2 linked regions of the Drosophila melanogaster genome follow. Changing the gene in region 1 together with any one later gene gives a genetic interaction. Each region holds a gene or a part of one and is shown on either strand. Other genes may lie near its edges. The genes, in order: Atg4b and sno.

Region 1 (5,831 bases):
ACCCAACGATGTCAGTATCCTTTTCATTCGAGCAAACGTGCTTGGCAAATTAAAACATTATACGGAGGCGGAGGCGATCTACAAGCGCGTTATTGAGCTGGAGCCCCACAACACATTGTACCACACGAATCTCGGAGTTCTCTATCATCGCTGGGACAAGACGCAGGAGGCTATAGAGGCTTATCGGACTGCAATAAGTATTAGTGCGGCTAGAGCAACGACAGCCCGGGAGAATCTCAGCAAGCTCTTAAAACGCCTGGAAAGGGAGGCGCAAGTCATGCAGAGATAAGCGTTTCAAGTCCCACCATCCAAATATGGATCCAACCAAAATCTTGGTTGTTTGCAAATAATAAGAGGTATGTACACTTCGCAAGCTGTAATAATCCCAAACGAAAGACGAGGTTGTGGGTTAAATTACTTATTCATAAAAGACATTAAAACTAGTTAGTCTAATTTAATTTTAATTCCGTGCAATATTGTATCTATATCATACATTCATATCCCATCAGCTAAAATCTCATGACACCCTAATTGTATTTAGTATAAGTTAGGATAGTTTATTCATTTACTCGAGGGTATATACAATTAATGTTAAAACTAAATAATGATCGAACAATTACAAGACGACTTACATAATTTAACTAAACTCTAGAACTAAGCGCTACATGAAATACTTCAAAGAATAGTGACAATTGTGGCACCATTGTAAAATAATTCAATTCCATTAAAGATTCATGATTTTAAAATAATAATACCGCAAATTACATAGGTTTATATATAACACATATAAACAGATCGGGCTGCTCGAACATGGAAATAGCTGAAAAACTTTGGCAGAATGCGAGACGACAGGTCGAACAAAAGAGAGATTAACGTGGACATCAGTAAATATTCAAGATACATGCATGCGTCTATGTACTATATGCGTAGGCGTAAAGGTACAACAAAGTCTTTGTGTTTGAGATACGGGTCTGTTGGGTTTTTCTGGGCGAGCAAGCAAGCAGCAGCGGCTGGCAACTAAATCAAATAATAATGAGCAAATAACACAGCTAGCACAGCAACAGGGTTATGTGGTGGTGGCGGCAACGATCTACAGCAGCACAAACTCTTCGCTTTCACTATCATCTTGGTCGTGCTCATCGCCGTGCTGTGGCGGCGCCAGTTGAGCGCCCAATTCCTGGGCCAGAGAAGCCACCTGTTTTATGAGCGGCTTGTACAGCGAATCGCTCATTTCGTCCCGCTCGTGATCCATGCAACGACCGCGGGAAAATGAGAACAATGGATAGTTCATCTCTGTTTGCTCGGTTTGATGGGATGACTGAGGCGTCGTATGATGGCTCCCGGCCGCCTTATCCACAGTTGCCCCTGAGGCGCAACGCATAGGATGCAAATACTGTTGAAATTAAGATATTTAATAGGACGTTGGAAAACGAAATGTTTGGCTTTTGCTTACCAACTGTACGCTCTCCATAAAATTGTCGAAATCACTTTTGGTGGCACAGTAAAAGCCGATACAACAACTAGGATCCATTTTGCTGGCCTTAAGCTTCCGCGGCGACTTGCAGTGAAACGAGTGCAGGGAGAAGTTCTCTTGGTTCACATCCACCATCTCCTGGCAATAGTGCGGATCCAAGTGGATGAGCCTGTCCTCCTGGAAGCCGACAAAGTACAGCGAATGCTTTGGCTTTCCACCAAGGATGCCCAGGCAGTGTTCTGTACTCAGCAGCAGCTTCAGACAATGGGCATACACAGGATTCAGTTTATCACTGCCCAGGCGCAAAGGTATCAGAACGATGAGGGACTTCCAGTGCTGTTGTTGCTCCGTTTTGGTAGTTTCCGCCTGCGGCCGCTTCGCTTGTTGCCAAGGCACATGGGGTTTTGGCGCCGGTTCCGGAATGCTGCATTGATCCTCAATATCTTGCAAGTAAACTAAAACAACACAAAGACGGTTATCAAATCACATACGTTATCAATTGAGCCCCTGAGTAATGAGCTTCGCGAACAAGGTTGCAGCAATTACTCATGAACATATCAATGTGTCATGGTAGTTATCTTATGAATCTTTGATTAAGGGATTCCTTTCTGCTTGAACTTACTCGTGCAATCTTTGGCTACATAGACACTAATATTGTCAAAGTCTGCATTTTCCTGAGCCGCGTGCTCTAAGGCGTGTCTGTGGTGAAGTTGAAGAGTTGTTTGATTTAATAAAGATTAAAAAAGCGATAAAGATCTGTACTCACTTAAGCAAATAGGAAACAGAGGCGGGACCGTACCAATCGCCAGGTTTTTTACCCAAATGCTCCCCCAGCCGCACCAGGGCGTGGATGGAGAAGGGACTGCTTTTTGAGGAACTGTCCCCGAACCACTTGACGATCTTCTTATGCATATTGTCCTCGTAAGTCGAGTGCAACTGGGACTCTGAATCATAGCGCCAGCCTGAAGCATAAAGGTTTATTGGTAATCAAACATATTTGTGCGGGTTCATTTAACTTACTTCGCCCTAGGAAGTGACAGATGAGTCCTTGAGCGAAGAGCATCTGACCACTCCTTAGCATACAGCCCCAACCGCAGTCCGAGGTGTAGTTGGAGCCATTCATTATTGGGAACTCTCGACGGTAGGTCATCCAAATCCTACTGTAAAAGTCACGACGAAAGCCTTCGATGCCCTCCTCCCAAGGCTGTTCGCCCACTTGGTTCTCCACCGCGTCCATTCCCAGTTCCTGGGGCACCACAATCTCATCGATCTGCTGCGGATTAAGGGCTGGATACAAGGAGGTTGATGTCGATGTGGCCTGAATGCTGTCGAACGCCGATGTGGCGTTATCGGGGGTGGTATCCGCCCCGCTGGGCAGCTCGGTGATGGAACTTTCCATGCTTACGGGCGGAGTAAAGCGTCGATGATAGCACCGTCCTAGCAGCCACACGGGCTGCTCCTTTGAGAAGCTGGTCTGCCTCATCTTGCCGCTCCAGCCATACTTCACATTGTGCCACATTGCGACGAGCTTGGACTCCATGCCCTTGGTGGGAGTACGGTTTGCCGACAGGTCACCGGGTTCCTCGTTGTGCTGCTCCACGTGACCGCAGCTCGGACCGCTGTTGCCGCCGCCGTAGAGCTGACTGAAGGCGTTCATGAAACGTGATGACGTCGATATTTTGCGCTGCGGAGTCGCTGTCGCAGCGTTTTCCGTCTTGAGGTTCAGATTGGCACCTGATGTGCTTACGGGGGAGGGGGAAGGGACGCGTGGAACGGCGAATACAGTGCGATGAATCGTCTGTATGGGGGCCGCCTGCTCCTCCTCGATGGCGCCGTCCTCCACCAGCGGCAAGGAGAGCGGATCCGCATCCTGGCCGCATATCCGGCTACCCTCTACAATGGTCCCCTCGCCGGCGGCTTCGAAGAGCATCAGTTTTTCGTCGGTCAACTTGGAAAGGAGGCCGTCATAGTTCATCTGGTTGGTGGCCGTGGACGAGGACATGAAAACAGAGGCGGAAGTGGTAGAAGAGCTATGACGCTTTGTCCGCAGCTTGCGGAACTTAAAGAACTGCGGCATTGTAATCTTGGTGCGAGCCCCTTGCTGGCCCTGGCTTAACTGACAACCGACCACCGATTGCGTGCTAATTACAAATGTTTACTCACCGTTTATTTGTTGACAAAATAAGATAAAGTAACTCCACGAAATTTGTTTTTCTTATTCGCGAGAAGTACAATTGCCAATTTCAGTGTTGCCAGACTGCAAATCTGCTCTATTATGAATATGTAGGTAATGTGTGTTCTTTTTTACGTTTATCTACTAATGAGTTCAAAATGAATAGTGAATTTTGTTATCAACAGGTTTGTGTTAAACTATTTTTAAACAATTTGTATCTTTATCTAAAATTCTTATACATATAATATTTGAATTAATAAATTAAAAGGCGCCTGGTATAGGTCTGCCCTTGGCATGTCCATTTAATAGTAATATTTTACGCGGAAAACGATTTCTGGAACACCCTTATTTACTTCCGGCATGTGTGCGGTCTGGCAGCTCCGCGACAAGAATGACCAGCTGTGCGGGTGCTAAAATTCTATTGCGCAACGCTGAATTTCTAAACACTCGCTTCGCCCCACACACAACATTACTGACGACAGCCGCTCAAAATGGTAAGTAATGCAAATTCCTGCAAATAGAAGCGCTTAGCTAATCGAAAACAATTCGATGTCGCCGTCCAGCAGGGCCCAATTCAAAGGTTGGTGTACACATTTGGTCATCGCACCTGTAGCCAATTGCCGATGATCGGCGGAGCAACGATATCCCAAACAAAACCAACAACAATGGCTCTCTCCGTTCGCCAATCCTCCTCCTCCGTGCTGGCCACGGAGTCCTCTAACAAGGGAATGATTATTCTGAACCGGCCCAAGGCGCTTAACGCCATCAACTTGGAGATGGTACGCAAGATCTACAAGCACCTGAAGAAGTGCGAGAAGTCCAAGTCGCTGGTGATCATCAAGGGCACAGGTGACAAGGCCTTCTGCGCCGGTGGAGATGTGCGCGCTCTGGTCGAGGCTGGCCCTACGGATGAGTCGAAGAGCTTCTTCCGGGAGGAGTACAGCACGAATGCCCTGATCGGAAACTATAAGATTCCCTACATCGCCATCATTGACGGTATTACCATGGGCGGTGGCGTGGGTCTGAGTGTGCATGGCAAGTACCGGGTGGCCAGCGATCGGACACTGTTCGCCATGCCCGAGACGGCGATTGGCCTCTTCCCGGATGTGGGTGGATCATACTTCCTGCCTCGACTGCAGGGAAAGCTGGGCCTCTATCTGGGTCTCACAGGATATCGACTGCGCGGAGCCGATGTCTATTACTCAGGCATTGCTACGCACTACTGCGAGAGCAGCAAGATCCCTGATCTGGAGACGGCTCTCCTTAACTGCCCGGATGCGGATGATGTGCCTGAGCTGCTGCAGAAGTACCATTCCCCGCCAGAAAAGCCCTTCTCGCTGCAGCCTGTCCTGGAGCAGATCAACAAGAACTTTTCAGCGGACTCGGTGGAGGGGATTCTAGAGAATCTGCAGAACGATGGCAGTGAATGGGCCAAGAAGACGCTTGAGGTGAGTGGGGCACAGTTTACTAAGTGATAAGAACACAATCGGATGTTAATTGGCTGGGCCAATCATCGCTTGACGCGCGCTTTTAGCGCCTAAATATTTGATCCGTTTCCAGCCAATTAGCAACGCTTTAGTTGCTGCACGACTTTTCTTAACTGAATAAGTTACACTAGCTCACAAACTCACACCCCACACCTTGTTGCATTTTTCTATTAGAGTTGAATTTTATTATTGAAATCAGACACATTGCTTTTTTCTTTGTTTTAGACGCTCTCGAAGATGTCTCCCACCTCGATGAAGGTTACGTTCCGTCAGTTGGAGCTCGGATCACAGCTGTCGCTGGCTCAGTGTCTTATTATGGAATATCGTCTGGCCGTGCGTCATCTGGAGCGAAGTGATTTCAAGGAGGGAGTGCGCGCCCTACTCATCGACAAGGATCAGAAGCCCCAGTGGCAGCCAACCAAGCTGGCCGATGTCACTGAGGAACATGTGCAGTGGTTTTTCCGCAAGCTACCGGACACCGAGGAACTCAAGCTGTAATGTAGCAAGCTTAGTTTTGTTTTTGTTTGAGCCTTGGCATCCAATCCTGTTTGTCTTCCGTTGAGCCGCTCATTCTTATATGCACACAACTTAATATCTTTGTATATATCATTGCAAGCTTGAGTTATGTTATGCATGGTTCCTTGCCTGCCGTTTTGCAATATTCTTTATATATCTTTAGCGTTCTGTGGCCACAGTT
Region 2 (5,193 bases), on another chromosome or scaffold:
ACAAGAATTGCTGACCGTCCGCTCTACGGGCTGATTATTGATTGAAAAGTAAGATGATGGAAAGGAAAAAAAAAAGTTGAGGCTCGGGCTTCGGAAATACCTAGCCTAATACAGGCTTTCGGTATTTGAGGAGCGCGGCTTCTTTAGCTTCTCGAGGTTCTTAATAACAATGTCGTGCAGCGAGGAGTAGCGATTGCGGACCTCACAAACGACCAGCCACAAGCTGAGGTACTCCTTCTCGTCAAGTTCGACGACTGCGCGCCGATAATCATCGATGTGCGGATACTTGGCCACCTTGGACACCACCTTGGCGCGCGACAAGAAATAGCGCGATATCTGGTCAAAGAAGGCGGCCGCCTCGGATTCCACAGTTTGAATTTCGGCAAGCGTGTCCTCTTGAATGGAGACGCCAAAGTTGTTGCCATCCTCGATCTTGGGTATCATAAAGGAGATCCACATCTTAAGTAGATTGGCTGCAAAAGAAATCAATTCAGAAATTACTAGGTATTCATTAAAAAGCTTAATGTCAGGCAAAACTTTAGCTACTGGCATTTGTACCGTTCGAATGTAAAAATTCTTGGAATTCATTGTTTTAGGAAAATTGAAGGGGCTCTTGAATAGCATAAAAACATTTATTAGGTTGAGACGCTTGAATATACGGTGTACTTACAATCCTCCACAAGCTTCCTGATGATAGGCTTGACGACCTTGATCATCTCGCAGAGCGGCTTGTTGCACGGCACTGTACCGGCGGGCAGACCCATGACAGGCTGCCCAGAGACGATGACATCCACGCGCTGGCGCTTGGTGGGCAGACTGTCACGATCCTCCAACTCGTTTTTAACCAGGAGAGGCGGCAGGACCGGGATGTTGAGGTCCTGGTGCACTTCTTCGAAGTTGCGCTCGTTGAAGATCGGCGTGGCCAGCAGCTCGTTCAGCCGGACGATATTCTCCGGGAACCCCTTGGTGATTAGCAGCTCTGCCTTGAGGATCAACGAGTCCTTGTACTCCTGCACCTTTACCACAGTGTCGTTAGGCATTTCGTTAGCTATGTGGATTCCTTTTCGTGTCCGTGGAAGCCTTTGATCCTGAGTCCTGTCTCCTGGCGTAGTACCGGTTCTTCTCGTTCCTTATCTTCTCAATAACAATCAGCAACGCGGACCGTCTGAAATCGGCGGACTTTTAGGGACTTGTGTCGGCGGATTGCGAAATTGAAAGCGGGAAAACCAGACTTACCGACAAATTTTGATGCCCAAGCAACAACACGCATGTGGTGCTAGAGGTGGAAGAAAAAGAATAATCGATGCTTATCGATAGCGTCGAAGTTTGCAGAAATTTTGCAAATTAATACCCCACAAGTATCTTAAATATCTTGAATGTCAATATATATTTTTTCTATACTTTTTTTAGATTGAAAGTCTTCTAATTACTTTCAGTTTCATAAACAAATTAGCTGAACATTAAAGTTGGCAAAACATATTTAAATGCATTAATGTACATTGCAGTTGGCATCATTTATTTAAATGCAACAGCTGAAGCTCGCTTCTCATTTACCATGTTAAACTTGCATATACTTTGTTGTAACGTGATTAGAATTTAACGGATATATATCATGAAATATAAAGAAATAAGACGCGCGCCATTTATCGATAGTCTTGTGTGCACCGCGTGCCAGACCGATAGATTTGTTTAAATACCAAGTAAGTTTATTATGTCTCCCTTTGTGCAATTTAAAATGTTTTCATTTAAATATCTATATTTTTAAAATATTTTCCATATATATATATTATAAGTAATATTAAGCTATTAATATTTTTAGAGCAAACACGCTATAAATAAGTGTGCCCAAATATAAGTTTTAGTATACATCGGCATTCTTATCAATAATCGTCAAACTGACGTTTTCTCGCTTCACCATTATCGATTCTCATCGATGTTTTTCCAGCTCTATCTAGTTGGCATCTCGTTAGTTGCGATAGTTGGCATGTTACGTGTGTTTTCGGCTTCGTCGCTTCATTCTCGTCTCGTTCTCGTTTCCTTCCTCCTTTATTCCGATTCCTCGTTTTGCGTGTATTGCGCGGTACAACGCATACGAACAAATTTATCCGAAGCGAAATACCGCGTGCAGCAACAAAAGAAAAACACACTCAACAACAACAACACACACGCATGCACACACGCATGCAGTCATTATCGCAACACCAATAACAACAGGAAGAACAACAACAACAAAAACATTTCTAACGCGCTGAAAATTGCGGAGTCCAGCCTTTTATATTTGCTGCATTTGCTATCTAACTTGCCGCACAATTGTTCTGTTCCGTTGACAGCATCAAAAACGCATTGTTAAAAAGAAATTAATATATAAATTTTAAACAAAACACAAAAAAAAACCAAGAAAAGAACGAAAAACGCGTGGGTGCGCGGTCTGTTGATTTTTTTTTTGTGGTTAACAACAACAACAAGAACCATCGGAGGGACGAACATCAAGAACAACCACCGTTAGCAGTAAGCAGGAGAATCAAAATGGTAAGTTTAAGTTAGCTGGCTTTTTTGTTGTTGCCGTCAATAGCATGACTTAATATAAATTTCTTTGTTGCTAAATTTTGACACACTCACATTTACCCACACACACATGCATAAAACAAAAACAAAGCGGCTGCAGAAGCTGATGAAGGAGAATAATAATGAGAAGAAGGAGCAGTAGCCAACTCATTCAATAATTGTTGTTTCTCCTTTTCTTGCGCCTTTCGCTCTTTCCTCGTCCACCCATTTTGTTGTTGTTGCTGTTTTTTTTATCTGCAATTGTTTTCTTCTGTAATTTCTAAGGATGCATTTTATATCGCAGATTCGCGTGGCCTGGAACCATGTGTTTTTCTCTCCCTCTCATACTCCCTCTTAGCGCTCGCCCCTCTCTTTCGTGCACACACGCTGAGTTTAGTTTTGGCGTTTTTTCCCCCGCACACGAGTTAAACGAATTCAGTCGACAAAAGTTGCGCTAGGTTAGGGTTAAGGCCATGCGACTCAGGGGCAACATGTGGGTTAAGACCATGGGCGGGGTATGGGGCTATGGGTCTATGGTGCATCATTGAATTGAGGATGACAACTATTTTTCAGGGGGCGGCATCGTTTTGAATGTTATCAAAACTATGACCATACAATTTCTATTTCTACAAATGTAATTTAAATTATATAGTCCGTAATAGTGTTGCTAATCTATTCAAAGAATCATTTTTTATAAAATATGTTAATAATATTTATTTGTATCATCAATTACTGGAAATTTGATATACTTATGCCAGCTTTTGACTACTCAAGTGTTTTACAAGTACCGCAGCTTTACAGTGATTGATTTGTGAAATGCTTATGCTTTTGTTTACGTGCAAAGAAAATAACTTTAATTCCTCTCAAAATGCACATATTTGTTATCTAAATTATCCTTATCCCTATGATATAATAATACGATTCACAATTTGTTTTCTTGATAAAGAAATAGATTTGATTATCGTTTATTTACCCGGATTTATTCGTTATTATTCCAAGTTTTTTTTTCCTCACACTTGTTGCTCGGCATGAGCGACGGAACCCCTGGCAGAGACTCAAACCACTCACGCAAAAGTTCGATAGAATCCCCGCTAAGGGGTTTCCACTGTAGAACTGCAGTTGGTGCAGCTGCAGCTCAGAAATGCATCCTGAGAAATGCGAGTTGCCCCTCCCACACAAGCTGCGCTGCTTTTCCTCTGCTGCAGCCAGAGCATTTCTGATTGGGGAGGGTGGGTAAGTGGTCCTACGAGCCGTGTTATGTATCGCCGTGTCCGCTTTGGCCAATGCATTCCGAGTTTTTTGGCGCCTGCGCTTTCACATTTCCCTCGGCCCGGTCAACATCTCTTTGCCAACTCCTGGGAGCGGGAGCCTTTATTAGCTAAATCTCTCCCCATTTTTGTAACATTTTTCAGGTCTATTTTCCTTGGCCTTTGTTTGTGTCCTTTTTTGTCCGTTTTTATCTGCACCTTTTGTTTTTATTTTTTCATTCGCCTACCCTGCTGATAAGGGTTAATGTTGTGGCTGTTTATTTTTCGTAATTCATACCAACTTTTTTTTTTTTTTTTTTTTTGGCAACAACATGTTGATGTTTCTATTTGTGCGAGAGGGTGGTTGATGGAAACACATGTTTTTGGCCACAGATTTTCAACATTTCCCTTGTTGCAAGGTCATTCGTTTTGATTTTATTTTGTGTGTCAACAAAAATGTTGCAATCCATTAACAGGCGGAGGTGTGGATGAAATATTGCGGAGTTAGAATTGATTTGGGAGTGAGAACTATGTTTTCGTTGAGGAATGCATTTCAGATGCTAATAGCGAATTCTTATTTTTATCTTTTGAGCCTAATTAAATGACTTCAATGTAAATGATTAATTAATTAAGTATCTAGTATCTATCTATCCTAGCCAAATACAATATAATAATATTCATTTTAAAGAGGTGATTACTTGAGTTAAGCTGGTTTTTGAAATCTGATTGGAAAAATGTTGAGAATATATCGCACTGTCGTAGATCAGTTTTTATAGTGATCGATCATTCCAGCGGACGTTCACTGTCCTCACTGCATTTGTTTGTCTCGGCTGCTTCTGTTTGCTTTGCTTTTGGCCCAAGTCCCTTGCCAGTTGTTTTATCCCGGAGCACACAGAGGTACACGGTATATATGTTTGAACGCATATAGCCAGCGAACGAGCCAACCAGACCCGTCGCCACCCTCCGGCGCCCACCAGCACCCTACCCCTTCCCCAAGGACGTGCCCACATCCACAGCCACAGCAGTCTGTCTTGCTCTAATTGCTGTACATGCGCTGCAGATTGCTGCTCCTCCTGGCACCCCCCCCCCCCTCATCCTCCACAACTTTCGACCTGCTCCAGTCCCCCTGACCAACCCCTTTGGCCGCATTCAGCTGCCAACTGAGCCAAAACCCTTTGGTTTAAAGGGGTTGGGGTTGAGAGGGTGGCTAGAAGGGTTGAGGGGGTGGTGTGGTGGGTGGGCCGTGGGATGCGGGATGTGGGGTTTCTGGGAGCAGAGAAAGCACATGCATATTACGCATAAAGGAGGAAACTTCGTATCTCTGCATGCCAAACATTTTGTTGTTGCTACTTCGTTTAATTTCCACAAGCGGAGGGGGTGGGAAAATGCCAACCCCTTTTTC

The links.
Region 2: of Atg4b (region 1) and sno, changing one enhances a phenotype caused by changing the other (phenotypic enhancement), as found in Drosophila melanogaster (one study listed by BioGRID).

What each region holds. Positions count from the first base shown.
Region 1 is NT_033777.3:15,353,180-15,359,010, forward strand, and holds Atg4b (Autophagy-related 4b), read right to left. Parts: upstream 3,746-5,831; 5' UTR 3,638-3,745; intron 3,450-3,637; coding exon 2,495-3,449; intron 2,437-2,494; coding exon 2,241-2,436; intron 2,174-2,240; coding exon 2,097-2,173; intron 1,930-2,096; coding exon 1,454-1,929; intron 1,394-1,453; coding exon 1,091-1,393; 3' UTR 541-1,090; downstream 1-540. Other genes in the region: Tmtc4 (transmembrane O-mannosyltransferase targeting cadherins 4), read left to right, coding at 1-289; Hibch (3-hydroxyisobutyryl-CoA hydrolase), read left to right, coding at 4,139-4,141, 4,211-5,095, 5,360-5,632.
Region 2 is NC_004354.4:13,208,436-13,213,628, reverse strand, and holds the start of sno (strawberry notch), read left to right. Parts: upstream 1-1,954; 5' UTR 1,955-2,526; coding exon 2,527-2,529; intron 2,530-5,193. Other genes in the region: REG (proteasome regulator gamma), read right to left, coding at 106-473, 671-1,040. UniProt on the Drosophila melanogaster protein: Notch pathway component, may contribute to the specificity between lateral and inductive Notch signaling pathways in the wing disk. Required during many developmental stages including oogenesis, embryogenesis and imaginal development of the eye, wing and leg.